Rhinolophus ferrumequinum: one gene and its partners. The protein of the gene in region 3 purifies or fractionates together with the protein of the main gene of each other region. This does not show direct contact. Links are inferred from orthologs where the notes say so. Each region holds a gene or a part of one and is shown on either strand. Other genes may lie near its edges.

Region 1 (7,101 bases), on a different chromosome or scaffold from region 3:
ATCAAAAAGCACAATAAATAAAATGTAGTCCTTTCATCAAATTTTGGATCACCTTCTCTAAAAACCCCGCAATGGTGAGGTTTACAAAGAGGTTTTCTTTGAATTCCAATGCTCTTTCTTGTCCCCCTTCCAAAGTTCACAAAAAAGAGGGCTGATCCACCCCAGTAAAACGTCTCAGGCCAGGCAGTGTGGTTGTAAGTACACCCTTTTGATTTTTTTTTTCTTTTCTTTTTTTCTTAGAAAAATAAAACTCTCTTTTTGTACAAATATACAAGTCCATGTTCTTTCAGATACTTTCCAAAGCTCATAATTTCAGGCGCTGGCCTCCAAACACACAGTCATCATATGGCAGCTAAAAACAAGAGGAAAAAAGCATGTTAAACTTCCAAAACTTTTGCTAGGGGTGCTGGGATAATGGTGAGGGCATAATACTAGAAATAACCCAAGTATTTGTGGACTCCATTCTCTATAACCCAAATAGAAATTAACTTCATGGACTGAGGTAGTTTTCCTTTAATGCTCTTCTTTAAAAAAGGCAAAAAGACACACACTTGGGATATACTAAAGTTTGAGAACTTCATTATGTTGAGACCTTTGGGTAAAGAGTAGCTCTAGGGGCCTGGGAGGGTGGAGAATGACCATCTCACTCCTTTTTGTAGAATGAACTTGAGACTCACCTCGTCCTCTGTGAACTCTGACTCGGTGTCGTAACTCTCTTCATCTTCACTCTCTGGCAGCATCTGAAGGTTTTCTAGGGTCAGCTGGCCCAGCTGCTGTTGTATCCGGGTGCTTGGGCGACCCCAGGTGAGTTGATATGGGGAGTAGCCCTGGTAGGTGACTCTATTGACATCAGCCCCACACTTCAACAAGAGCGACACCAGGTCGGGGTTCTGTAAGTCCACCGCGAGATGAAGGGCAGTTCGGCCATTACACGGCTCCTGAAACCGAAAGGAATTTGAGATGCTTTAGGCTGAATTTGGAATTTTGGCTTGTAATGAGGGCACGTGAAGTCTGTGAGGAGGGCGCTGAGCGTGCTGCCCTCCACCTGGAGGCATGAGGCACTCACCTGAGCATTGACATCAGCACCCAAGGACACCAAAAGCTCCACGATGCCCAGGTAGCCATGGATAGAAGCTAAGTGCAGACACGTGTGGCCTAGAAGAACAAAAGGAAAAAAGTATAACCACTTGTTTCAATCCTCACATCTGAAACAAAACCTTTCACCTATTCTTTTAAGGGACAAATTCTTCTGAATATGAACAACCCAGGATCTGAGATCTGAATGAACTTTATAAAGGCATCAAATAGGCCTTTTACACACACGTTTGCTCAACCCATCACACGCTGATAGTTTAAGCTCTTGCCTGGACTCTCTAAGTTGGCCCACCTCTCCCTTCCCGTGTCACCTGCCCTCTGATGGGCAGGGCAGGCAGACGTACCATTGTAGTTGGTGGCCTGCAGGATAGAGTGGAGGTGCTGGGTCCCACAGCTCTGAGTCAGGACTCCCACACTGGCCAGGCAGCCCTGCTCACAGGCAAGGTGTAGGGGGGTATTTCCTCGAAAGTCTCGGAGCTCAGGATCACAGCCAGCTTCCAGAAGTGCCTCAGCAATTTCTGGCTGGTTAGTAATCACAGCCAAGTGGAGTGGAGTCTACAAACAGAAGAGGGAACAGAAAGAGGATTAAGCCACGGACCAAACCCACAGTCTGAGTTCCCTTGAACCCCCCTAGATCCCTAGTTTGCGGGGGGTTGCTGCTCCCAGACAGGTGCAAGGGACAAAGCAAATACCAAAGGCCCCAGGTGGGCTTCATAAAGGCCACAGCAAATTAATGGGATGTTCTTTACTTTCTAGAATGCTGGCTGATTCGGATGTAAAAAGTCAGAGCGGATAATGACCACGACTATGAATTTATAAAGCATTGGGAGCAACTGTGCTAGACCACGGGGTCAGAGAGGCCCGGGGCTGGGCAAGAGGCGCACCTGCTGCAGGTTGTTCTGGAAGTTAAGAAAGGCCAGGTCTCCCTTCACTTGGCGGACCACTTCCAGAGTCAGTGCCTTCTCCTCGTGGATAATGGCTAAGTGCAGGAACCTGAGAGGAAAAGAAGGGAAAAACCCCCAGGGCTGGTGAGTACAATGCGTGGGGCCCAGGGAGGCGCGGGCTGCGGGGGATTGCGCAAGGCCGGGGTTTCTGAAGGCCGAGGCCGCGGTGTTTTCCGCGAGGTTATTATGAGCTGAGTGTTCCTGGCAGGCGCCCAGGGACTTTCCGGGCCCCCCCCCCCCCCCCCGCTCCCGGGCGGGCGCCGACCAGACCGCCCCGCCCTCCCGCCGGGCCGGAACGCCCTGTACTTCCCCTCGCTGCGGCACGGCGCCCGCCCGTCGGGCAGAAACTCCCCCCTCCCCCCTTCTGCAAGCGGGGACTTCGCGTCCCCGCCGCCCCGCCCCCGGCCGAGAGGACCGGGACCGGGCAGGGGAGTGTGAACGGCTGCAAGGCCGAGCTGCGGAACCGCGGCCCCGGGAACGAACCCTGATCCTCTGCCCTCATGCAGCTTTACCCGGCCTCGGGGTCGGTGCATAAACCCCGATCCACCGCCGCATCGCGCGGGCCCCGAGGCTCGCGCTGCAGGCCCGGCGCCCCCACCCGGCCCCGTCACCCAGGCCTGCGACACTTACGAGTCTCCGTCCTCCGTGAGCTGCTGCTTCCAGGGCTCCGCGCTGCGCGGCGCCTCCTGCGGCTCCAGGCGGATCTCCCGCAGCTCCTTCACCATCTGCTCATAGTCCTCGTCCTTCATGGAGTCCAGGCCGCTGTCGTGGCGGTCGTCCAGCAGCCGCTCCTTCTTGAGCGCGTCCCGGGGGCCCTCCATGGCCCAGTCCTGGGCGTGCTCGGCGGGGTGAAACATGGCGCAGTGACTGCTCAGGCGCTGCTCCCCAGGTGCGCTCGGCTGCGGGCTGCGCGCTCCCTTCTTCGCAGTGTCGCAGGCGGGTTAGGACTGTTGTGGGCTCGGCAGCGCCGCCGCGGCGCCCTATAAACGCTGGCAGGGGATTTCTCCGGGGCGGGGTCAGGCGCGGGGAATTTCCAAGCCAGTCAGACCAGAAAAGAGAACTGGCCTCGTTCTACGGCGGAGGGAAAGCAATCTAAACCCTAAGCAGGGTTCATCAGAGAAACTCCCAGCGATGAGCCACTGGGGTCATGCACAGGGAACTTTTTGATGAACGCTGAGTGGCTGGAAAGTCCTCCCGACAAGGCCCCCTCCCGGTACTTCCCTGCAGCCTGCACTCAGTAATCTTGTCCCTCTGCAAGAAACCTTCTTTCCCTGGGGTTTCCCACGATCGATTGGATTTGGGGTCCTCGGCTGCAGAGATCCCAAAGATGCAGACTTGCTGGGCGGTTCCTCGTTGGGGTTTGCCAACCTGCCGGTCTTTTCCGTTTTTTTGATCTATTGGAAACGCGAGTGGAAATGATGGCTGGGTGTAGGGATTCGTTTCCTCAAACTTCTGTCTGCAGGGAAGAACGCACTGGCGGGGAGAAGGGATGCCTCTGCGTGCCTGCTGACCCCAGGCTGTTTGCAGTGCAGGGACACGTAGCACTCCCCCAGCCCCCTCAGGTAGAAGGTGTGCAAGTTTTGGCGTTAAAAACCTAAATGCTTGGAGAGCCCTCAACTAGTTTCCTCGGGACTAAAAATCCTGGTGACTGGGGAGGGGTAAGCACTCTGCCCTCTCTCCCCTGTATGTGAGAAAATGCTGAACAGGAACTTTTTTTTAAAAGTAGGGCAAGGTAGTAGAGGTTGTAGATGCTTGACAATAACGAAATAATTATTGAGGTGGTTGTGCTCCCTGAATTGCACTGTGGTGCTGCAGAGAATGGATCCTGAGCCTACTTCGGGGTGCCACGCTGGGCAACTTTCCAGAGGCATTTGGAGAAGGACGCTGAAGAATGGGTTGAGTGGTGACTTACTACCTAACATTGGGCCTTAAGTGATGGCTAAGAAAGTAGCTGCTAGGCATACTGCAGGAAGCTCAAGGGGTGCCAACTAGTCCCCATCCTGCCCCTCCTGGTTCCTTGCTCTCCTGTCCTGGGGGAGGGCAGCGGTTGGACTTACCATGCATGCAATGTGGGTAGGCACTCCAGGCTCACTATCCTCTGTTTTCAACTACAGAAATAGAATGTATACTCTCCTCTGCACCCTCACCTCCTAGCCAACAATCCAGTGAAGTTAATTGATTGACCCTTAGCATTGGTCCCGGCAAAACAAAGCAACTTTGGTCCCAATTCTTCACAATTAGTTCCAAGAGGTCTCTCATAGTTTTGCAGATTTCTGAGGGTTGTTGCAATCATCTTTAACTTGCCGGGCCATGTACTTACCAAGCTTGATCCTCTCTGAATCTCCCTCTCCTCAGCCCTCACCCCCATATCTGAATGTAGGGAATCTGGGTCAGTGAGGGTGACAGACAAAATATGGGGGGGGGGAGTAAAATCAAGAAATAAAACCTTCATGGTAGTAATGATCACATGCTAAAATGAAAACTTCCCAGGGATACACTCTGCTGTCTCTGTAGGCATGTGATACACAACTACACAAGTTTTCAGGCAAGGTGGAACAGTGACTATAAGTAGAAGATCTCAATTCCAGGCTCTATCTCTAATTAAGTGCATCTTAATTGGAGGTATCAATTAACTTTGCTGTAGTATACCTGCTTGGATTTAATGCTTTTTGGGTTTTTTTTTCCCCCAGCTTAAAAATTGTATTAGTTGGCCACACATGCATGTATAAACCCCTGCTTAAGAGTGATCGTGTCTCTTGGAAATTCACAGTATATATTTTTGGAAGGACTCCAGCACCTTATGCAACACATTGTTCTCAGAACTAATCTTGTAAGATAGGTAATATTCCTACTTTCCTAAAAATAAACTGAAATGCAGAGAAATTTACCTAGGTACCCCATGGCAGTTAATCTAATTTCTGTCCCAACATATTAATCATTTGGCCAAAGCTGTTGTGGTAGGTATTAACACTTTTGAAGACACATTTTGAAAATGAGACCGAATATGTTATAATTTGGAAGATACTCAAAGTATTTTCTGCTCCAATTGTTGGATAAAATAGAGGGTAGATGTTTCCCTATCGGGGGTATTCATGTCTGTAAGAAAAAAAGTACAGAAAAGTCGAACTTGAGATGCCCCACTAATAAAAGGGTACCATAGGAGAGAATTTTTAGCTGCAGGTTTCAAATGATTATTAAAAAAGAAAATCATAAAAAGAAAGAAAAAATCATGCATAAGTAAAAGTATCTAGGGAGTAAGTTTCTTTGTACCTCTTTTAATGACTTTATGTTCTTGATGGCCTTAAGGACCTAGTCGTCTTTATTCCCAATTGTTTAGTGTGATTCCTGGTGGTAAGAGTCAGGCGCAGGTGTTCTCTGATTTGTCTCAGAGGTTTTGGGAATTTGGCGAGGTGCCAAGCCTTGGTGACCTGTCCCTATGGTGGGGATTCCCAAGGAGGTACCTTTTGTTTTTCTGCAACCTGGGAGACAGTTTTGAATAATGTGATCCAACAGGTTTTCTCTCTATCATCTATAGCTCTCTACATTGAAATCAACAAATATTACAACTTGGGCAATAAAGAACACACTTGGAAATCAGAAAACATGAGCAGAAGGGCCAGAAAAAGACAGCAAAACTTTGATTTCTGGTTTAGAAAGACCTTTATGGACTCCTGGGCACTTAGGGTTCTCCCCACCTCATTGTCACACATTTTAGCTCATCTTGACCATTTTGAAGATGTTAAACCTTAGGTAACTAATTTTTAAATGTCATTTGGCTTTTTTATTTTGAATGCAGAAGAAGGCAAACGAATGAATCTGTTAACCCCGAAGCTGCTTTATAGTTTAGTGCAGAATGCAGCCATAGAGAAGGAGAGGATGGCCAGGGGTGCTCAGGGGCTTCACTGTGGGCAGGCGCACCCCTCTGGGAAAAGGAGCACCAGTGTGTGACTTCATTTATTCTTCCTGGGTGGGAAATGCACAATGTGGACTGAACCTACGGCCTGAAGTGCCCAATGGCCTGGCAATGTGGAGATGCTTCTCTAAGTTCAGCCAAGTGGACCAACATATTTGGCTTTTCCTAATATCCTGGGCAGCGTGTCCTGTGCCAGTTGCCCTAGCCAATTGAAATTGTTTTAGCCCCAGCATATAGAACTGCAAAAGGCTACCCATCACTCAGTGCAGCCAGGCTGGGAGAGAGAGGAGCGCGACAGAGTCCTGAAGGCCAAGTGAGTCCGACACACTGCTGATGGACCGCGCTGCTGCGAAATTCTGAATTTATATTCTGCTTCCAATCCCAGGCTCAGTCTTCTTTCCACCTCTAGTGGTTAGCAACCACCTGCATCCATCCTCCTCAGAATCTGAGCTCCCAAGCTCTGAATTTCCCCACAGAAAAACAGCTGTCAGGACCTTTATTCATAGTGACCTGCAAATAAGACGGTCAATGCGTTTATGTGTATCTTTTGCTACAAATTCTGCGTTTTGATGGGGATCAAAGTGTTAAAGGGTATCGAACTCAAATACTTACCTTATAGGGGCCAGATAGGTTTCACAGAGGAGTGAAGGTGGCCGTGTGAGTCCAAGAGGGAATGGTGGCATCTTCAGCAGTTGGCCTGACAGCATGTCCACAGCTCAGGCAATGTTTGCCAAACAGCACTTTGCATTCAGTACTGATGTTAAGAAAAAAAAAAATCAAAACATGGATTTTGATGTGACCATTTTCAAGTTTTAAAATATTGTGAAAACCAAATAAAATGCATTTCTGCAACTTTTGGCAACATGGAGCCCACAGGCCCTGATCTTACAACCTGTTTCTCAGCCAGGGTATGATGTTTTCATGGTGCTTTGGGAGAAGGCACTCACCTTCAGCTCCCGTGGTGTCAGGGGGTCTCTGCTCCTCCGTGTAAATGGAGGCTGGGGTGGAGTGTGTCCATCTAGGAAGTGTGGTCTGCCCTGGCAGGCAGGGTTGGAATCAGAGGCTCTAAGCCCTGAAGAAAACTTGATCCCTCCCTCAAAGAACTGTTCAACACTACACTGTAAAATTAGTATAACAAGTTCAACCAAG
Region 2 (7,809 bases), on a different chromosome or scaffold from region 3:
ACGTGCATCACTTTGAATGCTCCCCCGCGTCCCCCTTGACGATGCGCACCCCCATTCCTTTCCCTTCCTAGGGCTCTCGATGTGCAGAGCCAGAGGGGCTGACTGATCCTTAGAGTTCCCCAAATCCACTGACATGGAATTGGTCCCCTTCCCGCCAATTTCACATCGGTGCCGTCAAAAGTGCCCATAACGCTCAGATGTTTCCAGTTTAACTGAAATACTAAAATGGGGCAAACAGGAAGCATCAGACACAACTGCGGTAGTGACTTATTAATCATGAAAGCAGAATTTTAGTTGCATTTTAACCTTTTGCCAGGAAAAAAAAAAAACCAGCTTTGAGATGATGGAAGTCATTGGCACAAATATGCTGCCTATAAGTATATCAAGCTGACCTCTACTTTTAATTTAGGACTGAATTTGATTTTAAGATTTCCTAACTATCCTCCCGGAAAGAACATCTGTCAGGTCAACCAACATGAATCTGTCAGCTCTTCATCATGTCAGGCAGATCTGCTAGGAAAGCTCCTGTGCTGTCCATTGAGACAGGAAAAAAAATAGGAAATTCAGAGTGACTTCACAGGCCACAGTGATAAGACACTCTTAAGAGGGTGCCAACAACGAAGAAAACAACCCTGGGGGAAGCTTTACCTCATTCACATCTCTATAGATCTCTCACCAGACCTTGGCCAGGATGAACTGTTATCATGCACCAAAAAAATCACAACAGTTCCCTGGAGTTGGACAACCAATCAGGGCAAGCCTGCTTCTCAACATTAAATGATATACAAACACTCCAAGCAGATCACAAAGAAGTCAGTGTTCAACAGGAGAACCAAAATGAGGAAGCAAACCTCCATCTGTTGAGGCGAAACGGCCAACCAGACATTTTTGTTTAATAGATGAAGGCTCACTTGGCAAGGTCCCTTGTCTGTGGTGCTGCTCCCACAAACTCTAACAGACAATACCAGGGGCAAAAAAACCCTTCAGAACTGCTCCTCATAATCTGAAAACAGTCCGAAGATGACTTAAAGCTTGGCAACTTCTTGCTGTCTGATTTCACAAAAGTACTGGGACATATACCTGGGTACAGATTTCTCAAATGAAAATCAGAGACTATTACTTTTATTTTGAGACTTTCTGAGAAGTTCACCACACCCTTCAAAATAAATGAGGATGTCCTAAAGGTGTCTCTGAGAAACTCAGAGGTCTGGCATCGCTGCACCAAAGGAACTGACTTTGACATCACTTAAAATAAAAAAAACACCAAAAGTGAATCCAAATACATTGTAAGTAAGACAAGCATCTGTCCTCTCACGTTAAGAGCATAAATACTGCACCAAACACTATTCCTTCCTTCCTGTATCAAAGTCCTAGAATGTGGTCCTGGTCCAAGGGAAGAAGCCTAAAGAAGCTTCCAGTGGCCCAGGCTCAAGTTCACCCTGAGTCCTACCTATGAGGCCTTGGGCAAGATCTATACCTCCTCCTCCCTCCCAGCCTCAGACGCCTAATCTATAAAACAGGACAATGCTATCTTATCACACAGACGTCTAAAGGAAAAAGGAGGTTACAGGTATGAACATACTAAGATACTTAGTAAAAAACACATCACTAATGTTAAGATACTATCTCGCTCTAATGTTTCAGAACGACCATGTTTCTAGTCAAGGGGTTTTCAACATTTTTCCTGGAATAAACTTCAGACTGCTATTTTGTATCAAGCCCCACCTCTCATCATTTCATTTCACTTGCTTTTAGAGTTCTTCATCAAGTCACTGGTGTTCACTGTCTCCAGTTAGCAAAAGTGATTTTGCCATTTACACCACTGAGTTCTGTACCTTTTCTCCATTCATTCTCCCCTTTCTCTCATACTCATTTCCCAGTTCATTCTTTAGGACTCAGAGCAACACTTAATAAGGAAGGAAACACTTCTACTGAAGTTACCCAGCACCAAGGAGGTTCCTGGGCAGGTGGGACTCTGCACTGTACAAGTGGCTTCTTTCTGCCTGGTGCCCGGTGGCTGCAGGTTGCCAGGGGCCATTGTGGGCTTCCAAGATGAGAATATTACATCCGAGCCAACAGATAAAGCCCAGAGTGGAGCAGACATAAGAATTACAGAGGAGGGTTGTCCCTTAGCTCAGTTGGTTAGAGCGTGATGCTCTTCACAAGGTTGCGGGTTTGATCCCCACATGGGCCACTGTGAGCTGCGCCCTCTACAACTAGATTGAAACAACTACTTGACTTGGAGCTGATGGGTCCTGGAAAAACACACTTAAAATAAGTTTAAAAAAAAATTACAGAGGAGTCAGGGGAAGCAGGAGGCTGGTGCGAGTTGCCAGCACTGCTCCTCTGAACACCACGGGCAGGCTCTGCTCCTTCTCCCCGCCTCGGGGTGTGTGACCCAAGAACTTCCCAGGAAAGGCCTGAGAGTTTCACTGCCAGGGCAGGTGGGAGGACGCATGGAAAGGGCGCACTGATGCATTAGACACCTTCTGCCCGGTTCCCAGGCGAGCCCCCATCCCAAGGAAACCCAGGGAACGCAACAGGAGGGGCAGGCCTGGCGGTGGGGGCAGCTGAGCGCAGGGGAGTCGGAGTGTTGGGGAAAGGGAAGCAGGGCGCCCCCGCGCGCGCTTCGGGCAAGCGTGTCACCTGTGGGGGTGCGGGGCGAGCACGGCGTGCGACCGTGGCCCTGGCAGTGTGAGTGAGGGATCGCCGGCGGCCGGCCGCCAGGGCCGAGGGCCCGCGCGCGAGTGGGTCCGACCAGCCGCGCCGCCGACCACCACTATTCCGGGGCTGCGGGCCAGGCCGCAGACCGTCCCGGGTCTGAGAGGCGACCCGTCCCCGGTGCTCCCTGCTCCGAGCCCCGGGATCCCGCTCAGTCACCTACCGGCCAAACGCCGATCTCCTCAACCAGCGACTGTCGCGCTCCCCTTGCCCACGATCTCCCGCCGCTGGTCGCCGACCGCTGAGCTCTGGGGCCCACGGTCGCCCCGCCCCATGGTCGCCACGCCCCGGCCTCGGACCCCGCCCCCTGATCCTCTTCCCGGCTGCCCTGGGGCCACGCCTCCCCCGGCGGCTGCAAATTTGCCTCGCTTCGCGCCTCCTAGCTTTGGCCGCACCTCGACCCTTGGCCCCGCCCACTCCCCCAATCTAACCAATGAGCCGGCGTGTCCCGCCCCTAGCAACGATTGGTTAGCGAGGCCTCGTTTCCAGAAATGGGCACTATTTCCGGGCAATGTTTATAGTGAAGACGCTGCTGGGCAGACGGATTGACAGAAGGCGGAGGCGGCTGGGGTTTGGTCTAACCACACATGCGCGCTCGGCTTCTGGCAGTTTTTTTTTCTTTTCTTTTTTTTTTTTTTTTACGGGTTGCGTTCTTCTGGAGGTTACGGGAAGGAAGAGTGAGTGTGCGCATGCGTGAGCACTTCCAGCCTCGGACTTAGGTTACCTTGGAGACAGCGAGGCCAGGTCCCCCAGGCCAGGTTCTGTTTCCTCTTCATTCGAGGCCTTGGCGGCTGAGGCAAGTGGGGCCAGGGACGATTGGCAATACTTTTATTGAGCACTTACTGTGTGCCCAGCGCTGTAGAGTCCCTGAGGACGAGTAAGACAGGTTTTAGTGCCTGCCTTCGAGAAGCTTGGGCAGCCAAGGGCCTACACAGGTCAGACCTGTGTGTCGAAACCCGAGTCTGATGAGATCTCCACAGATGGAGAAGCAGTGGGTTTACAGGTCAGATCCAGAAAGTAGGGCTTTCCTTATGCAAAAAAGGATCTGAAGTCTAAATATGCACCAAAGTGTCAATAGTGCTTCTTCCTGAATGGGGAAAGGTGGTTAGGGGAGGTTTGGATACTTTTTCTAATTTTTGCTTATCTGTATCTCCCAGTGTTTCTGCCGCGAGCTTGCATTTTATTTGTAATAAAGAAAAAAAAAAATCCCAAACTGTGTAAGTTTGCAAAATGAAAGATATGCCCCTACCTGGGCACCCCAATCCCCATCAACGGTCCACAGCAGGCAGATGTGGTAACTGGTTCTAGTAGTGGGGATAGGTAGGCCCCATCCAAGGCTGTCTTGGGAAGTAAGGATCACCTCATCGCTGGAAGTGTTGGAGCAAAGCCTGCTCAGGACCACTTTTCAGACAGTTCTTGGTAGTTCAAAGCCTATTTCTAGAGATCTGTAACCAACAGAGATCTCCCTTGTTGGGGGATAGGGAAGACCATTCATTTATTTAGGCAATGGTCAAAAACTCACAACCTAAGGGCCTCATCCACTTACTCAGGCCAAAGATGTATTTTATTTGGCTGGTCCAGTGGTTTTTAAGTTTGAATTTGAATGCCTTCGGACAGAGCCTGCAGTTCCTCACAGCCCCTGCCCCTATTGTCTTACACTCTACCATTTAACCTTAAATATCACCTGGCCCCTGAAGCATTCGAGGTTGTGACCCTGATAGAGTCCATGCTTTGGAGCTGGACAGTCTCTGGTACATAAATTGGCTCTGCCACTGACCGGCTTGCAAGATGGTGGGCAAGAAAGAAGCTAGTAGCCCCTAAAGCTCCTTCCAACCCCAGAGGTTTTCATTTCAGTGACTCAGGGAGAGGCGGAGTTTGGCCGGATGATGGGTTACAGGTTGGTATCAGCAAGCCTGGATGCAGGGCTTGCCTCTCCCACCACCTGTTTGCCTCTGGGCACACCACTTCTCAGGAAAGACGTGGGCACACGCCCAGAGTCTGCAGATGCTCCCTGGCTTGTCTTTGCCCTCTCTCTCTCTCACCTTCTTTAGGACACCCAGTGCCCATATACTTTACCCAGCTTCCTTTAACACTTCTCTGAGTCCCTGCCTGCCCCCACCTACCCTGTCAAGATTGTCTGCCCTTAAATCTATCCATTAACACTAATGTGTGTTAGTGGGAGAGAGTGAACGTGTTGACCCAAAGCTGCAACTCCCAAGAAGGAATTTCGCATCAGGCTGCCAGGGAGGAAGAAACCACTACACATTAGTGAGGAAAATATATGGGATAAGCAGGGTCTTGTGGTTTCAGCTACTTCTCTCAGGCCTTTCCAAGCCCTACCATGTGTGGAGTGAGGTGAGAAACAGTGCAACACCCATTCCAAGTAAGCACCAAGTGTGGAGTCTGTGAGTCGTGGAATGCTTGCACCTTCTGGAAGGAGAGCTTCAGGGCAAAATTACTTCTTCCCAGCCCAGCTAGTTAAGTCCCGACAACCTGGGAATGCTTCTAGCCCTGAGTCACTTGTGCAGCCTTAGCTCTGCTTTAAATAAAAATAAATCGACATTCACAGGGTGACTCACATCTGGAGCCGTGAGCCAGGTTCTCAACACTCAAGGATTCCACATCCCACCTCAACGGTTCAAGTCTGGAAATAGAAGGGTAAGACTGTGCTCTTCCAAAAAGAATTGCAGCTTCTGTTTTTTGAGAGCTTACAAAAAATAAGCCAGATATTTCTAAGTGTTTTGTGTGCATAACCTCACTCAATAGTCACTCTAGCCCAGGGTTTCCTGGCACTAGTGACATTTTGGAGGCTGTCCTATACATTGTAGGATATTTAACAGCATTCCTGACCTATGTTTGCTAGATGCCAGGAACATCAGCCCCCAAACCCAGTTGTGACAACAAAATATGTCTCCAGACATTGCCAACTATCCCCAAGGGAGAAAAATTGCCCCTAGTTGAGAACTCTTGCAGGCTAACCCCATAGAGTATGTACTATTATCATCCCCATTTCACAGATGAGCAAACAGGCTCAGAGAGAAATAACTTGCCAAAGGTCACTTTGCTATCATAGGAGACCTGGGATTCAAACCAGATGTGACCCTAGGGCCCCTGCTCTCCTGCATATAAGACTCTTCAAAGAGACTTTGGGCTTCAAGGAGCCAATTGCTCATCAGTTATGTAGAAGAATGATGAAGAGTGAGTGAATTTTGTACATCAGTAAAAGAATGCTATCCTTGGATCATTTTTCCTTTTCTGTTTGCTTTGGAAAGAAGAAAATTATATTCTGGTTTTTATTGGCTTAGCCAGACAGTTCATGGTGTCTAGTGAGGTTTAGTGAGAAAGTGGCTAGTGAATCATCTGAGTGTCTGTCGATCTCAGGCCCCAAATACCTGTGAGATCCTGAAGTTACACTTGAGAAGAACGCAGAGGTGAGACTGAGATCAAAGATGACTGGGGGCTGGGAGTAGATGTTCCCGAAAGAGAGGTAGTTTTATTTTCCCCATCAGGGGCCTCTCCAAGGCTGCAGCTGTGGTACTGTCACTACCCTCTTTGGCCCATTGCTGTCACACAGTCTAGAGTTTTATGGAGGGGCGAGGAAGGCAGGAGAGGGAATGGATTCAGGCAGTGGTGGGCTGGAGTTCTCTCCCTTCCCTGTGGTCAGTGACGATTTCATGTTCGTGGCTTGAAATTAGATATGATGGGGGTATTGACATCATAGAAATTGGCAAACAGTATAAATCAGGGCTACTCACGCCCCAGCTGGTTGTTAAACATTTATCAGCACACCACTGCATGCAGATTCTGGACCCTGACGACCCCGCACCAATTCTGCCCACCATGGGGAGATGGAAGGGGGCACGGTGAACCACAGAGCTATTAGAGAAGAGGAGGAGCCATGTGTCATGGATAATGAGAAGAGGTGCCAAAATCTGCAAAGGATGGCGATGACAAGGTGGGGGACTCTGGGGGCACTGGGCAAAATTGACCTTACCAAGAGGAGGTTCTGGACATGACCTTTCTGAGACCCGTCCCAACTTTGAAGCCTTCTTAGGGAGCCCTGGGTTAAAGCTTGACTCAAATTCTTCTCACTTCCTGATTGGTTATCCCCTTTTAACTCACCTCCCTGCCTCCAGTCCTCTGTCCACACCATCCTTAACCCTTCTGGCGGATTTAATCCTCCTAAGAAACCACTTACGTCATGTGTTCCACCCCCAAGCTCCCCACCTCTGCTGCACTTCAACTCCCCCCGCCCTTTAGCTTCTTCCTCTCAACTCCAAATGTGATCAAGTCTCTGCAACCTGAAAACAGACAAAGAAAAAGATTCTTCCCCTGTCCTGGCTTTCCCTTACACTGTTGGCCCAACCGTTTTTTACTCTGTCAACTCCCACACTTCTTGGGACTCCTGGTATTTGCTTCATCTCCCCCTTGCATGTACCCCTTGCAGTCGGGTTTCTGCCCACCACCTCTTCTCTCCATGGACGCTCACTGATTGCCACCTAGTCAGATGAACTTATCGCAGCTCTCATCTGCAGCCAACCAAAGAGGTGACGCTCCAACCACAAATGTGACCCTACTGTGTCAGGTCCTGGGAGGGAGTGCGGAACTTCCGGACCAGTCCCTGCCCTTCGGGAGCTTCCCATACAGTGAGTGGATAGAGGTGGCTGCCGATGAAGAGTGAGTCATTCCAGGTGGTGAGGATGATGAGAGGATGGATAGGATGTACTGTATCAGGCAGGGCATAACCCCGGAATCAGAGCTCGCTCTGAGTTTTTAGACATGGAGTTGAGTGCAAGGATTGGTGCACAGAGACGATGGAAGGGCTGAGGAGCCCAGCAGGAGATGGCGAGGTAACCAGGAATCCACTCCAATGCCTGGGTTGGCGGGACCTGACGGAGGAGCAGTGTAATCAGTGGCTGGGGGCCATGGTCACCGGAAGAATTGGAAACCACGGAGGAGACACAATCAGATCCATGGACACCAGTCAAGACTGAGAGGGTGAAGATTCTTATTTGCTTCCACTGTCTGGTCTCCTGCCAGAGCTTCTCATTGGCGGGGGTGGAGGGAGATGGGGGCAGGTGGGGCTGC
Region 3 (7,177 bases):
TGGGAAGAATTAATTACTAGGTAAGTTTTGGGGGAGTTGAAAGTTGTACGTGGATTTTTGACTGGGGGGGCATCAGTGCCTCTAAACCCCTGCATTGTTCAGAGGTCAACTGTACAGAATTAGCTACAATGGACAGCATTGCTAGGAACAACAGAAAAATGTGGCTATTCCAGCTCTCAGTATATACCTTTGCTTAGGGCTCACCACTTAGGAGACAAATGGCCTTGAGGAAGCAGAACCCCCCCTCAGTTCCTGGGCTTCAGTTGAGAAGGAACTTTAGTTCAGGTAAACAGTTTATCACCCCCTCCTTGAAATACTCTTCACTGGTTTCTGAGATACTGGCCATGCCTTTTCAATTTCTTTTGTTTTCTCTTCCTCATCTCCACAGCCTCTGAACATGAGCACGCCTCAGGGCCCAGCTCTTGTCCTCAAGTCCTTTCTCTCTACTCAATTGCTGGGTAACATCCACAGTCAAGACTTTAAATACCATCCATTGCACTGACTTTATGTCCAACCACCCACATCATCTCCACTTGCATGCCTCATAGGCTCTCAAACATAACAAACTTCAAAGGAAAAATTCTTGATTACCCCCGCTAGGAATCTGCTCTTCTCCCAGTCTGCCCCATGTCACTAAAGGACAACTCAACCCCCTCTTTTCTCACATCCTACATCCAATTCCTCAGCAAGTAGTGTTGCTTTTATCTTTCAAATTTATGCAGAATGTGAATACTACGTCCCACCATCCTCACCTACTACCACCCAAGTCTAAGCCACTACTGGTCTACCGATCTCCCTCTTATATTCTAGTCCCATGATCTGTGTGCTGTCCACACAGCAGCCAAAATGGGCCTTTTTAAAACGTCATATCATTTTCACTCCATTGCTCAAGTGGCTTTCCATCTCATTCAGAATAAAATGCAAAGTTCTTACTTTATCCCACTTACCTAACCTTGCTTTTCTTCAAATATGCCAAACACATTCGTATCAGATCTTTACACTGCTAGTCCCTTCACCGGGAATGCTCTTCCCCCAGATATTCACACAACTCATTCCCTCAACTTTTTTCACGTCACTGTTCAAATGTTATCAGAAAAGCCTGCCCTGTCTGCTACGTATGAAACCCTTGTCACTCTTGACCCCCTCCCCTTGCCCACTTTTTCTCCATCATACTGATCACCCTCCCCTTGCCCACTTTTTCTCCATCATACTGATCACCAACTGACATACATTCATTTGACTTTTATCTGCAAACAAAGACACTGATTTCTAGAGTAGGCCCTCACTATTCATTGGTGAATGAAGACAGTGAATTTATGGTGTGTCTGCTTTGGGCCAGGTGCAGTGCTAGCCTTAGGTACAGAAACAGATAATCATTCGGTTGGAAATTAGTGAACAAACAATGGGTTTTCTAAGCCCAGATAGATGAGGCTATAGAAACTGACTATAAACTTTGAGTCAGTCAAAATTTCCAGGTCAACATCAAGAATTGTTGGAGTTGATTGATGGGTACATGGGGGTTTATTATACTCTTCTCTCCATTCTTTATATGTCTGAAATTTTCTATAATAAAGGCTTTTTTAAAATCTTCAGATAAATGAATTATAGTTCAGAATCTTATAACTAAAATAGCTAAACCTTAGGGGTGCTTTTAGAAACGTGGAAACTAGAAAAATTCATGCCAATTTGAGCTGGTGGTTTATGAGCATTTTAAAGGGACAGTCGTGATCAACGGTGATCAGCACAGGTTCACTAAGTTAGAATATTCCAAACTAAGCTCCCATTTTATTTATTTTTTCAATTACATTCTACATTCAACATTATATTAGTTTCATACGTACAGCATAGTGGTTAGACATTTATATAATTTACAAAGTGATCCCCCTGATTAGTCTAGTACCCATCTGACACCATACACAGTTATTACAATATTATTGACTCTATTCCCTATGCTGTACTTTACATCCCCATGACTATTATGTAACTACCAATTTGTACTTCTTAATCCCTTCACCTTTTTTACCTAGTCCCCCCACCCCTCTCCCATCTGGCAACCATCAGTTCTCTGTATCTATGAGTCTGTCTCTGTTTTGTTTTATTATTTATTCTGTTCTTTAGATTCCACATATAAGTGAGATCATATGGTATTTGTCTTTCTCTGTCTATTTCACTAAGCATAATACCCTCTAGATCCATCCATGTTATCACAAATGGTAATATTTCATTTTTTATGGCGAGTAATATTCCATTATACATATATATACCACATCTTTACCCAATCCTCTATCGAGGGGAATTAGGTTGCTTCCATATTTTAGCTATTATAAATAGCACTGCAGTGAACATAGGTGTGCATGTATCTTTTCAAATTAGTGTTTTGGATTTCATCAGATAAATACCCAGAAGTAGAATTGCTGGGTCATGAAGTAATTCTATTTTTAATTTTTTAAGGAACCTCCTCTCTGTTTCCCACAATGGCTGCACCAATTTGCAATCCCACTAACAGTGTACGAGGGTTCCCTTTTCTCCACATCCTCACCAACATTTGTTGGTGGATTTATTGATGATGGCCATTCTGACAGGTGTGAGGTGATAGCTCATTGTGGTTTTAAATTGCATTTCTCTGATGATTAGTGACTTTGAGCATCTTTTCATGTCTGTTGGCCATTTGTACTCGTATGTTCTCTGGAGAAACGTCTATGCAGGTCCTCTGCCCATTTTAAAATTTAACCTTCCATTTTAATTTAAGGGTTAAGGAACTGATTTACCAGGGGAATGTCGTAGACAGTATCCCTGGATTTTAGCAAATTGTTTGATGGTATCTTATGATAATCACTTGAAAGGCCCACAGTTGGGTGGAAAGGCCTGCTTTATTTTATATGAATTTCTGGGGAAAGCTTCATCCCAGAGCTAACAGACTGGGTTTGAATTCTCACTCTGTCCCTTTCTAGCTAGAGGTGTTACTTCACCTCTCTGAGACTTAATTACTTCATCAGTAAAGAAAGGTAATATTTACCTTCTAGGGTTGTTGGGAGGAAGAACAAGAACTTACACTGAAGTACCTTAACATAGTACCTGGCACATTCCATTTGTGGGCAAGATGAAGAGGAAGGGGAAGTAATAGGAAATAGCCCAAATCAAGGGCCATAATAGTCTCCCTTTATGCATAGCTAGTGCAGGCCTGTAAGTCCATTATTTAGAAGGTCAGGAGGCAGTTGCAGGAAAGATCCGAAACAACAAACAGTCTGTGTTCCACTGTGAGCCCAATGTAGGACTCCAGGAATGGAGATTACTCATGGCACCTTCTAAAGAGAAATTCTACCAACCAGAGATGTCCGGCCTGGGAGTCAGTACTTTGTGAAAGTGACCTTGCTGCCACTAGAAGTGTGAGGCATACTTTGGGAACTATATAAAAGGCAATTTCCTACATCAGAGGAAGTTTGAACTATTAAGATTGTGGATGTCTTTTTAACTCTTAACATTCCAAATCTCCGTGATGGATGAGCACAGCCTGAGTCTCTCAGATAAACACCTTATTTCCCTCCCAGCACGGAGCTCCTGAGCTTAGGTCTTAAAATCTGGCCCTCAGTAAACCTGCCGTTGATAGAATAAGTTTAGGTCCAGATGGTCTTTTCCAGGGGACAAAGAGTTAGAGACTGAGTAAAAGGATTACGCGGTCTCCTTGCGGCTCCAAAGGGGGGCCGCCAGATGGCACCCTGGGACCGACTGAAAGATCAGTTTCCTTCCTCTTCCCCTAACTTCCCGGCAACGGGGCCCCGCTCCGGGCGGGGGACAGGAGGACTTGGGCCGGTCGGTCAGCTTCCCCCTGGGGTTCCCCAATTCCAGAGGTGGCCAAGCGTTAGGCGCAGCGTAAGCCGAGTAGCAGCGGGGCTGCCAGCCGTCTGAGGCAGGCCTGAGTGGGTGAGGAGACTGGAGTCGGGGCGTCGACAGGGGGATGGTGCTCGCTCAGCGGATCCCGCCTGGGACTGGTCCCCCCACCAGAGCCCACGCCTGGCTGACCGTCATACCCACTCCCGATTCCCCGCGCTGCGCGAATATTTGCCCCCTAAGGGGAGCGCCTGAGTCGCTCCGGATTGGTTGTGCGCGTCGGGAGTTAAACTTTCAGCCAATGAAAAAGGGCATGGGGCGTGACGCACGGCAACGTCACGGGAATTCCCCCCTCCCGGGGGCGGTAAAGGGGCTTTCCCCACTAGAGCGCTGGTGGCTGGAGAGGTGTCGCGACCCGTCCCAGGTGGGTCGGGCCGGGAGCTAAGCCGGAACCGGAGCCGCCGCCGCGGTGAGTGGCCGGGTTCAGACCCCTGGGTGGCCAGGACTCTGGGAAGGGCGGGAGGAGTGTGTCCTAAACTGAGGGAGACTCAGAGCTGGAGAAAGCATATGCACACACACAGAGAGCACGCACACGAACAAGACACCCGGATACACATCGACATCCTTGTACAAAACACGCGGACTTGTACGTAAGCCGGCGAGTGTACAGTCCATCACTCAAACTCGCACACAAATGCACACGCAAACACGCTCACCCGTGCACAGGTGAGCCTGGACCCATACCCTTCACGCACAAACTCAAATATATGCTCACCTGCGCCTCTACATATCAAGATATGCTCAGACATGTGTACACACTGAGACTTTTAAGGACACTCACCTGTACACAGACATGCTCAGCTGCACACGCATGTTGACGCCATGCACACACAACACGCACGCAAGCACATGAGCTGACTCACACTTGTATACCTGTGATGGAGACACACAAGTATTACAAACGGCTTTGGGACTGGGGCAGGGGCGTGGGCACCCAAAACTCATGTGGCGTGGGAGTCAACGGCTATCGAGGTGTTTCGAGGAGAGGGAACAGAGGAACCCATCCCAAGGAGGAGACACCTTTCCTCCCCTAGCTCCGCGGCCCAAGAGACTGGTTCTCGGGGCAGAACCCCTGGGCCCCTCGCTGGGAAGAGCCCCCGCCTACAGGCCTTCGGGGAGGCGGCCTTCCTACAGCAGGAATGTCCCCCCAAAAGCCCCCGGGGTGAATCAGCCGTGGCCTCCCTCAGGGTAGAAAATCCCAAGGTTACTCCAGGATGGGGGAGGTGAAAGGGGCGGGAGGTAGGACTGGCCCGGGGCTTGGAGCCTCTCCCAGCCGTGAAAGACCTTCCGGTCCCCGACCCCTGCTCTGCAGTGAGGAGAGGGGCCCAACCCTCACGGGGGCTTCGCTAGGTCTGGTTGCCCCTCTGCCCACAGACAAGCTGCGAGTGTCCACAGGCCAGCGCCGCCAACCTGGCGCCCCTCCCGCCGCGGGGGCGTGGCCAGTGGCGTCATTTCCAGGCCCGCCCCCTCCGGCCCCGCCTCCCCCCTGGTATTTTCGGGACTTTCCTAAGCTGTTCTAACTTTCCTGCCCCTTCCCCGGCCCGGCCCAGCCCAGCTCCCGATCTCGCGCTCCACCGGATCTCGTCCGCCACACCCGGACGGGTGGCTGGAGGAGATCCGACCCTCCTCCAAATCTGGGCCCCCCTCTCCTCTCTACTCCGGTCCTGATCTGTCTTTCCCGCCCCCCTGCCACTTCCCCCCACCCCCCAACCCCGACCCAAGGCGGGCGACTGAAACTGGGAAAGAGAACCCGGCCGGAGTCGCCACACAGTCGGGCCTAGCCCAGAGACATGGAGAGTTGCTACGACCCAGTGAGTCACTCCGCCTGGCCCCAAACCCGGCTGGCTGACCCCCTGTGTTTGTCTGGTTGTCTGCGGGTCTGTCGGAGTCCCCTCTGCTCCCCTACACCTGTAGTACCTTCACTTTATCTCAGCCTGCCTGTTGGTCTGTCTGCAAAACTGCTTCCAATGGGACCTCTCTTATGGACCTGGGGAGGAGAGGGGGTGATTACTGAGGGCTTAGAGAGCTGGGAGGTGGAGGACTCTGGGGGTGGCTCCGAATCAGCTGCCATCCCATTCTGTCTCCAAACCAGGATCTGGATGGCATCATTGAATACGATGATTTCAAATTCAACCCATCCATTGTGGAGCCCAAGGAGCCAGCCCTAGACACAGGTTGATAAGTCCTCTGACCTCCCCTGGTCTTAGAGGGAGGGGGAGGGAGGAGTATGTGCCCTCTGCCTTGGGGATGGGTCAGAGAGCCGGGATCAGCAAGGCCCCTCTGTCCCCAGCTGATGGACCATACCTGGTGATTGTGGAACAGCCTAAGCAGGTGAGTGAGGTGGAAGGGATGGTGTGGGATGGCTTCAGCTTTGAGGGCAGATGGGGTAGTTGTAGCTGGGTGGCCCTGGGGAGGGTCACTGACCACAGAAGCCACGTTGCGTTGGGATGGTTGTCCGCTGCTGAATCAGTAGTGTGGTTGTGGTTCAGGACAGGCACTACCAGTCATTATGGTCACTGCTGGCAGGGGGTATGGCTGGCTGGGGGGGGGGGCCTCCTGGTCACAATGTCACTCTGCCCTGGAATCTTCAGCGAGGCTTCCGATTTCGATATGGCTGTGAAGGCCCCTCCCATGGAGGACTGCCAGGTGCCTCTAGTGAGAAGGGCCGGAAAACGTATCCCACTGTCAAGGTGAGCAAGGGTGGTGCTTGAGGGTGGGCTAGTGGACAGTGTGTCCAGGGGCATTACTGACAGCCCTCACCCCTCCTAGATCTGTAACTACGAGGGACCAGCCAAGATCGAGGTGGACCTGGTAACGCACAGTGACCCACCTCGTGCTCACGCCCACAGCCTGGTGGGCAAGCAGTGCTCGGAACTGGGGGTCTGCGCCGTGTCTGTGGGGCCCAAGGACATGACTGCCCAGTAGGTGTCCCCCACCCCGGCCCCCCCAGTGGTATGCCCCCTCATTGCCTGCCAGTCCTAGGCCCCAGCCCACCTCTCTGAACTTAGCGTCTGACCAAGGGGAAAGACTTAGGTTGGCCCTAGAACCCAAGGCTCCAAGTAAAAACCAGAAAAGCTTCCTAGAGGAAGTAGGGCTGTGCTGAGCCTGGGCAGTGGGGTGGGGGGGGTGCCTCAGGAAGAAAGAACTGTCTGCAAGATCCCTGACTCCCCCTCCCTCACCCAGATTTAACAACCTGGGTGTCCTGCATGTGACCAAGAAGAACATGATGGAGATCATGATACAAAAACTTCAGAGGCAGCGACTCCGCTCCAGGCCTCAGGGCCTTACC
Region 4 (7,610 bases), on a different chromosome or scaffold from region 3:
TATGGAAGTGCTTAGTATAGCCTCTGGTCCAAATTAAGGGTTCCATAAATACGTGTTATAATTATTATGACATGATCATCTCGAAAGTACCTATTCAATCAACCCAAAAATCACTTTGCCTAGGCTACAAAGAGGAGTGCACACAGCCAATATGGTAAGCCATATAAGGAGTAAGCACTAGAATTAATAACATAAAGGCTACCTTTTTAAAAAATGATTACTAAAAAATATGCTAGGTACTAAAATAAGCTGTTTAATAGCATTATCTTTGTTAGAGAGCATGGGGAAAATTGGCAGTTCCAGAATTTAATCCCAAATTTGTTCTGTTAAGAACTAGGATAATTATTCAGAATACGCATTCTATTTAGAGAATACTGGATATCAAAAAGATAAAACAGCGCTCTTGGCAAAAGCATGCCGCCCCCCCAAAAGACAAGAAAAGTGAAAGGAGGCATTTCATTATCACCTACAGACCGATTCTTTAAAAAATTTGATCTTTCCTCCTAACTCCAACTTCTACAGCTTCCAGGTCAACTATTACCACACCTCACACTAGTATGAGCAAATTGATTTCTTTTTAATGAACATTTTAGGAGTATGTTTAAGGAACCTTAAACATGTTCATAAATAAAACTGATCAAGTAGATTAGTGGCAGAGCCTGGCTGAATCAAGTACAGGTAGGCTTTCAAGGTAAGAACAGGCAGTTCCCTGGGGCTAGAACTTCACAAAGTATACTGCTTATTTATTTTAAATGAAATACTGTATAAATACAGAACAATCATAGTATCTTCCATCTCTTCTAAACAATCTTTAAGAAAGAAATAGTCAACACTCTGGTATTCACTTATTTTCCTTCTATTTGCTCAACCCGTTGCAAAAAAGTTTTAATGTACATCATTCTACTGAAACTTTTATCAGTGACTAATTTGTAGATAACCTACCAGTTAACATTTCAATAATATTTGTAATTTAGACACATCCTTGACCAAATCTCAAATGACATTAACATACTTATGTTAGTATTATCAGTGTTCAGAGTTTTGTATTTTTTTTTTGCGGGGGGGAGGTGGGGCATAAAGTGATTACCTATTGAATAATAAAAGATTACAAACACTAGTGTTTAAATCATATTACAGTCTTCCATAATTAATGTTTTAAGCATCTCAATTCAGGATAAAGTACACAATGACACTGGTAATATTTGCATCTTTTAAGAAACACTAGGCCTCAAACACTAAGGGCAAGTATTTAAATACATTGCAAAGAAAAGCTTTTTTCACATGGTAGTTTCAATACCATATAATGGTAATCTTATGCCCAATTTCTTTTATAGCAAATTATAAACATATTTAATTTATATAAGTGTTTTTAGATGTGGTTGGAAGAAATAGTGTCTCTATCATGGCAAGAACATAAACATGGTTAAAGAACATAAATTAGGGAAGGACAGAGAACTCAGTGTTTTTGTGTCAGATTCTGTGAAAAACACTTTACATACTAGATAACTAGAAAGGTAGAGGAGTTGGTGAGGAAGGGAGAGAAGGGAGATAATTTTATTTCCTAATGCAAGCCACTCAGCAAAAATTCAATGTAGACAAAGTCTTTTCTTTCTGCAACAGTAGAATATTCTATTCTACTTTAAGCTTTAGTCCTAAGCTTCTAAATTTGTAATCAATTATTTGTTTAAAAGGCATAGAATAAATATGAAAACGAAGATCATTAAAAACATAACCACTGAAAATTCATACTCTTGGAGATTAAGTTTTTACTTTGCTATATTCTTAAACATTACTTTAAAATAGCTACTATAACCTGCCTCCTTAGCGCAGTAGGCAGCGCGTCAGTCTCATAAAATAGCTACTATATGTTTTCATCAATATTCCTTAGAATTGGTCCAACTCAGATTTCCTAAATCTTGTTATATCCATGAAACCATTAAGAATGCAAAAGGCCAAAAAGATACAAAACAATTCTAACACAACCGACTAGTGTAAGAATTTACCATAATTCCATTATTATATTTACAGCAAGAGTTTGAAACTGATGAAGTTTGCAAATGTTAAGAATATTTTGTTTCATTTAGATAATATACGGTAGCTAAAAAAAATTCTTATATTTTCAAGATATGTTGATACATCTGTTGCTGCTGAGCGAGGAGTAGGGAGCAGAGAGATTGTATTTCATTATTTTCAAGGCTACTAGTACCAATGAACTTTTTATGAATTGATGAATGAAATAACATATAATCTCTAAAAGTTCACGGGGGTACTCAAATTAACTAAAATTATTGAGGCCTCCCAAAACCTAAAGCAAAGAAAACGAAAAAGGAAAGCTTACTTTCTAATTTTTAAAATAAGTGCTGCTGCTTTAAGTAGCTAGCAGTCTCACATCCAGTCCAGGCTACAATCACAACATCCATTAGAGCGCTCCACAGCTCAGAGCAAGCAAGCAAGTGGTTGTCAGTGCAGCTAGTAAATCACCTGATCCTATTACAAAATCAATTACTGCAGTGCATTTCCATTGCTACACAATCTGATGATGACAAAATGATATTGGATAGCTACTGCAAGGTCAAGAAAACTGCTAAGAATATCTTTAATTGGTCTTTTATTTTTAATCATTTGGTACTAGTTATAATGCATCCATTTTAATTGTATATTTTTATTTGAAATAAATCTATGTAGTTACCTTTGGTTGCCTGGGACAATCGATGGATAATCTCTGCAACTGGTCTGATGTATGGCTACAAGAGAACAGATCGGAGCAGCAGGTCGAACGGTTCAACCTCTTCATTAAAGAAGAAATAATGCTGCAGCCACAGCCACACATTGACTTGCTCATTAGATGAGGATTTAACTTTAAAAATCAGAACTGGTGAGGTCCCATATATACTCAAAATTGGCTAAATGCCTCATTCTGCAGCTCTCTGGCTGAAAGAAACACTGTTAAAAAAGAATAAAACAGCTTCCCTACAGAAGGTACCAGCCACAAACTCATCGCCAAGAAGAACTCGATACTAAAAACAGAAGTCTCCCGGCTACTCTTTAGAAAGAAGGTAAGGTGCTTTAATATTTCAAACTGTGTTATATTAAAACCCAAGTCCTTAACAAAGGAGCAAACTCAAGATAATATACCCCAAAATTATACTAACCACTTTTTCTGTCCTCCATCAGTTTAGATCTGTTTGCCTACTCCTTTAGCTCAGCCTATCCAACCTGTTCCCTCTGTAAATGCTCACTATTTCAACAACCAACAGGAATGAGCCCCACCCCTCCCTGTCCCCATACACACTGTTCAAGAACCGCTCAATATCTGGAAAAGAACTGCTGCTGCATTGCTCTGAGAAACAACAGGGAGCAAATTACTGGACGGATTCTTTAACTTACCAATCAGAACTGCTGACCTTTTATGACTCCACGATTCAAGAAGCCTGCCAAGCACTCACAGTAAGAATAATCAACTGATTTTACTTGTATATTATAGATTAATTTACAGGATCATTTTCAATCTTATTAAGTCAATCTAAAACACAGAAACATAGGCATAAGAATTTTTAAAAAACAAAATTTATACAGTAGCTATTAAAAATCTATGAGTATTGCTGGGAGGGGGCAGGATGGTCGTTGATATGCATAGCAAAAATTCTCTCTGAATATTGTACTTAGGCTGGAGAAATATGGAGCAATAAAGTTCTACAGTAAAAATAGTGGTATAGATAATGATAAGCCAAGGAGTCCCCTGACATCATAAATGTTAGAAGAGTTTTAATGAGGAAAAAAAAGGGCTTGTGGCTATAGGTAGGTATTGATAATAAGTGAAAAGCCATTAAAAATCTGGTTGTTTTGACACTGAATCTTCTCCAACTTGGGTTATTTGCATCTCATCAAAAAGATTCAAAAAATATAAACCACCCTAAAAATATAAGCAAAAGTATTAAGTATGTTAGCCATACTGTAGTATATTTTATACTGAAGCATCCTTTTTTGTCAATACTGTGTAAAGGCATTTATTTACACCATGTAACTATAATCCACATTATAATTTCCAGGACAAGAGAGGGTCACATTAATACAAATATGTTATAGTCTTCCCAAATAATCATACTTCAAATAATTGTAACTTAGTGAATATTCACAGACCTACGATTATCAATCTTTTTTAACAGGACCCTTTTTTGAGGAAGATAGTCTAAAAACTAAATGTAATAAGAAACACCTTGAATTAAAATGTATATTTTAAAAACTTCCTGTGTTCTGTGGCATTGAAAGGTTCTTTATTTGTACATGCCTCACGCTCAATTTCTTCCTTGGTTTAAAGCTAAAAAGAGCCAGTATTGCCTCTTCCTTCACCTTGCACTGCCCTTTTGATATCATGTTATACTTAAATCAATTTCCAGAATATCTAAAAACAGGCATGCACTTCACATTGAATTTTTTAAAAAAACCTGTTGTAGATAAAGGCTGTGGAAACAAACAAGCAAAATAATGCAGTAACCTTTTACTCGCCTGCTGGAGGTACTGTCTGCTGCATAGAATTTTAAATCCTCATCTGCAGATGCAACTGAGCTGGTATTGCCAAGAACCGCTTTTCCTGCGTGCTGCTTCACAGCTATTCATCGAAAGAGCACATTATGTGGAAAATGCGAAGTACTATCAGTTTAAGTTGCTTATACGATTTAACAACAGAACTTCTAAAATCTAGAATCTGTCATATTTTCAGATGCATGTCAGACACACTGGGGAAAGGTCTTATTACAGCTGATGCACACTCCTCCTAGCTAATGTGCGAGACTGGGAAGCCAAGAGAGGTAATGAAAACATTACTACAACATCCTAACGTAGAACAATGTACTGAGCATTAAAACCTCCTATGATTTCTATTATCGACAAATGTATAACATGCCCAAATAATTTGAGATTTTTATTACCTTTATAATTAACAAAAGCCTATAAATAAATCATTGCGCCTAATATTACAGACAAGCATCAATAAAAATCCCCACCAAATGCATTTTGCTATGAATTGCTAGCTACTCAGCATCAATGTTGTTTTTAAACAAAACTATGAAATAAAAGACCCAAAGTATAGATTACTTGTGAAATAACTAGACATGTAATGCTTCACCCCTCTCATCCTCCTACCAATACCCTCTGGATCTTATATTAGTTATAATTAAAATAGAATGGAAGCAATAAGGGCTATTTTCATTACATATTATTTTTCCTTCCGTGTCAACTAATTTAATGTACTATTGATTCATACAGATAGAAGAAGGCAGCAAACCAATAAAAATAAAGCCTTAAAAACTATCAGAAAAAGAAACATAATATTGTTTAGGAAAAACGGTTAATATTTAACTTTAATAGTCTAGCTATAGATACTTTTAAAAAGAGACAATACTAATATTTGCTCACCAATAACAATGAAGCAACATTATTTTTTAAATAAACTGCATTTTAAAGTTGTGCTTTTCGCCTTAATTTTAAGTAACTCTAAATATCAAAAACTTGTTTCAAAAATTTAACAATCTATTTCTATTTAATTAATTTCTACTTCTCTGAGAAATAAGGTAACCATTCTACAAGGCACTCTAAAAGATGTATAATTTACAAACCAGACCATCCTCCCTCAATGCCCAAATTTATAAAGTAAGCACAAGCTAACTTCAATAGTTACCCTAAAGTAAAATGTATCAAATAGAAACTTACCCAATGGACACTACTATATGAGAGTATTTTTTAAAACTATTCTTTCATTTAAAACTCTTTACTGCCATATATAGTATCCCCGTGAGAAATAATTCTAGCAGTTCTCAAAATATGAATCTTTGGGATCCCTGAGACCATTACATGGAGTCTACGAGATCAAAATTATTTTCATAATATTAAGATGTTAATTGTGTTTTTCACTATCCATGTCTCGAGTACACACTAGTAAGTTTTCCTCAGACGACATATCATATATAGAGACTTGAATGCATAAGCCAATATGAGAATTCAACTTTCTTCCATTAAGCCAGACTTCAAAGATACTTGCAGAGATGTAAAACAATGTCATCTTTCTCATTAATTATTTCACTTCAGGAAAATATGGCTATTTCCAAAAAAAATATGTTAATTGTGTTAACATGTAATTAGCTATTACTTTTAATTGAATTTAATAAATGAACACTTTTAAAATTTAGTTTTACTTTCTAATAGGGTAACTATTGAGAGATATAACCCAAATAAATCAAAGCTCTTTGAGGTCTTCAATAGTTTTTTAAGAATGTAAAGGGGTCCCAAGCCAAATAAACTGAGACTCACTAGATATTTCTGTTCACATTTTTCCTTAATTCAAGGCTTACAGTTTGGGGTTATAAAAACAACTTCAGTAATTTTAAAAGCAATGATTCTAAAAGCATTCACTTTAGAATATCAAATATAAAATGCTTCTGAATTTTCACTGATGTCATTTTAATATTCAACTTTCAGTCATCTTAATTATTGAGTATAATTATTACCAGCTGTGTCTCACAGTACTGTTGAAAACTAACATCTATTTTTTTAAAAGATGTATAATAGATAACTGCTAATTATGATGTCCATGCAGTAAGACATTAAAATTTAGCTGGCAAACACATATAGCTTGAAAAAAAAAAAATCAGTTGTTGGGAAAAGGAAAAATGCAAGATTATATATTTTTAATATAAAAAGAAACCGTAAGAACAGTTTCTAAAATTCATCTTGCCTATACAAAATCAATTGTTTTAAAAAAAATTTTTTTCATGAGAATACATAAACTTTAAATAAAAGACATCTCCAAAAGGGATTGCCTTTCAGTAGTAAAGAGATGATTAGGGAAGAAAAACTTTTAAGACTATATGAAAGACAATCAGAGAAATTACAGTATAATTGAATTATTTTATAGCGATTCCTACTGCTGAGACTATGTTGAAAGTTTGATATTTTAAGGCTTTACAGTCCCATGAGGGAGAGATGGCATCTAACCCCCTAAATTTGTAAGTACTAGCCGACATTTTCTTCGGTAAGTCCCAAAGGGTTAATTTTCAAGGGGGTTCTCCTTGGTTCTGTCCTTGGCCAAATCCCATGTCCTCAGTTTTTCAAGAGCTCTGGTTCCCATTCATTCGTTTATTCACTTATTCAACTATTTACTCACACCTACCATGTGTTATATAGGTAATGAAGATGGACCAACACACAAAACAGATAAAAATCCCCCTGCCTTCACTGAACTTGTTTATTCCAGGGGGAGAAGAAGACACACAACAAACAAAATAAATATTTACTATAGTAGACGGTGATAACTGCTAAGGAGGAAAAAAAAAATCAGAAGGAAGGACAAAATGGCCAGGAAATGCCTCATTTTCTTATTAAGAATATAAGTAATATTTTTAAAGCTTTAAGAATATTTTTTTAAATATTGAGAGAGGAACAACAACAGCAAAACTTGTGGTAAATGAATAAAAAATTCAATTTTTTAAACGAAAAATTTTAATTATATAGGAAAGTAGAGAGAAGAGTATAATGAATTCCTACATATCTACTTGTCACCCATATTCAACAACTATTCAAGATATTACCAATATTGCTGTATTTGTCTTTTATAC

Evidence for each region.
Region 1: the proteins of NFKB2 (region 3) and NFKBIA purify together in Homo sapiens (affinity purification with mass spectrometry; 6 studies listed by BioGRID and IntAct, counting the BioPlex papers as one, with this or other methods). This does not show direct contact. The link is inferred for Rhinolophus ferrumequinum from reciprocal best matches to the Homo sapiens genes NFKB2 and NFKBIA.
Region 2: the proteins of NFKB2 (region 3) and MAP3K14 purify together in Homo sapiens (affinity purification with mass spectrometry; 6 studies listed by BioGRID and IntAct, with this or other methods). This does not show direct contact. The link is inferred for Rhinolophus ferrumequinum from reciprocal best matches to the Homo sapiens genes NFKB2 and MAP3K14.
Region 4: the proteins of NFKB2 (region 3) and FBXW7 purify together in Homo sapiens (affinity purification with mass spectrometry; 7 studies listed by BioGRID and IntAct, with this or other methods). This does not show direct contact. The link is inferred for Rhinolophus ferrumequinum from reciprocal best matches to the Homo sapiens genes NFKB2 and FBXW7.

Annotation. Positions count from the first base shown.
Region 1 is NC_046289.1:83,503,406-83,510,506, forward strand, and holds NFKBIA (NF-kappa-B inhibitor alpha), read right to left. Parts: upstream 3,021-7,101; 5' UTR 2,897-3,020; coding exon 2,670-2,896; intron 2,089-2,669; coding exon 1,980-2,088; intron 1,651-1,979; coding exon 1,440-1,650; intron 1,156-1,439; coding exon 1,067-1,155; intron 939-1,066; coding exon 678-938; intron 353-677; coding exon 305-352; 3' UTR 213-304; downstream 1-212. UniProt on the Homo sapiens protein: Inhibits the activity of dimeric NF-kappa-B/REL complexes by trapping REL (RELA/p65 and NFKB1/p50) dimers in the cytoplasm by masking their nuclear localization signals.
Region 2 is NC_046304.1:40,065,709-40,073,517, forward strand, and holds the start of MAP3K14 (mitogen-activated protein kinase kinase kinase 14), read right to left. Parts: upstream 3,003-7,809; 5' UTR 2,885-3,002; intron 1-2,884.
Region 3 is NC_046299.1:22,620,385-22,627,561, reverse strand, and holds the start of NFKB2 (nuclear factor NF-kappa-B p100 subunit), read left to right. Parts: upstream 1-4,176; 5' UTR 4,177-4,297; intron 4,298-5,610; 5' UTR 5,611-5,678; coding exon 5,679-5,699; intron 5,700-5,980; coding exon 5,981-6,062; intron 6,063-6,178; coding exon 6,179-6,219; intron 6,220-6,479; coding exon 6,480-6,578; intron 6,579-6,657; coding exon 6,658-6,809; intron 6,810-7,071; coding exon 7,072-7,177. UniProt on the Homo sapiens protein: NF-kappa-B is a pleiotropic transcription factor present in almost all cell types and is the endpoint of a series of signal transduction events that are initiated by a vast array of stimuli related to many biological processes such as inflammation, immunity, differentiation, cell growth, tumorigenesis and apoptosis.
Region 4 is NC_046301.1:23,865,098-23,872,707, forward strand, and holds the start of FBXW7 (F-box/WD repeat-containing protein 7), read right to left. Parts: upstream 3,012-7,610; 5' UTR 2,843-3,011; coding exon 2,690-2,842; intron 1-2,689. UniProt on the Homo sapiens protein: Substrate recognition component of a SCF (SKP1-CUL1-F-box protein) E3 ubiquitin-protein ligase complex which mediates the ubiquitination and subsequent proteasomal degradation of target proteins.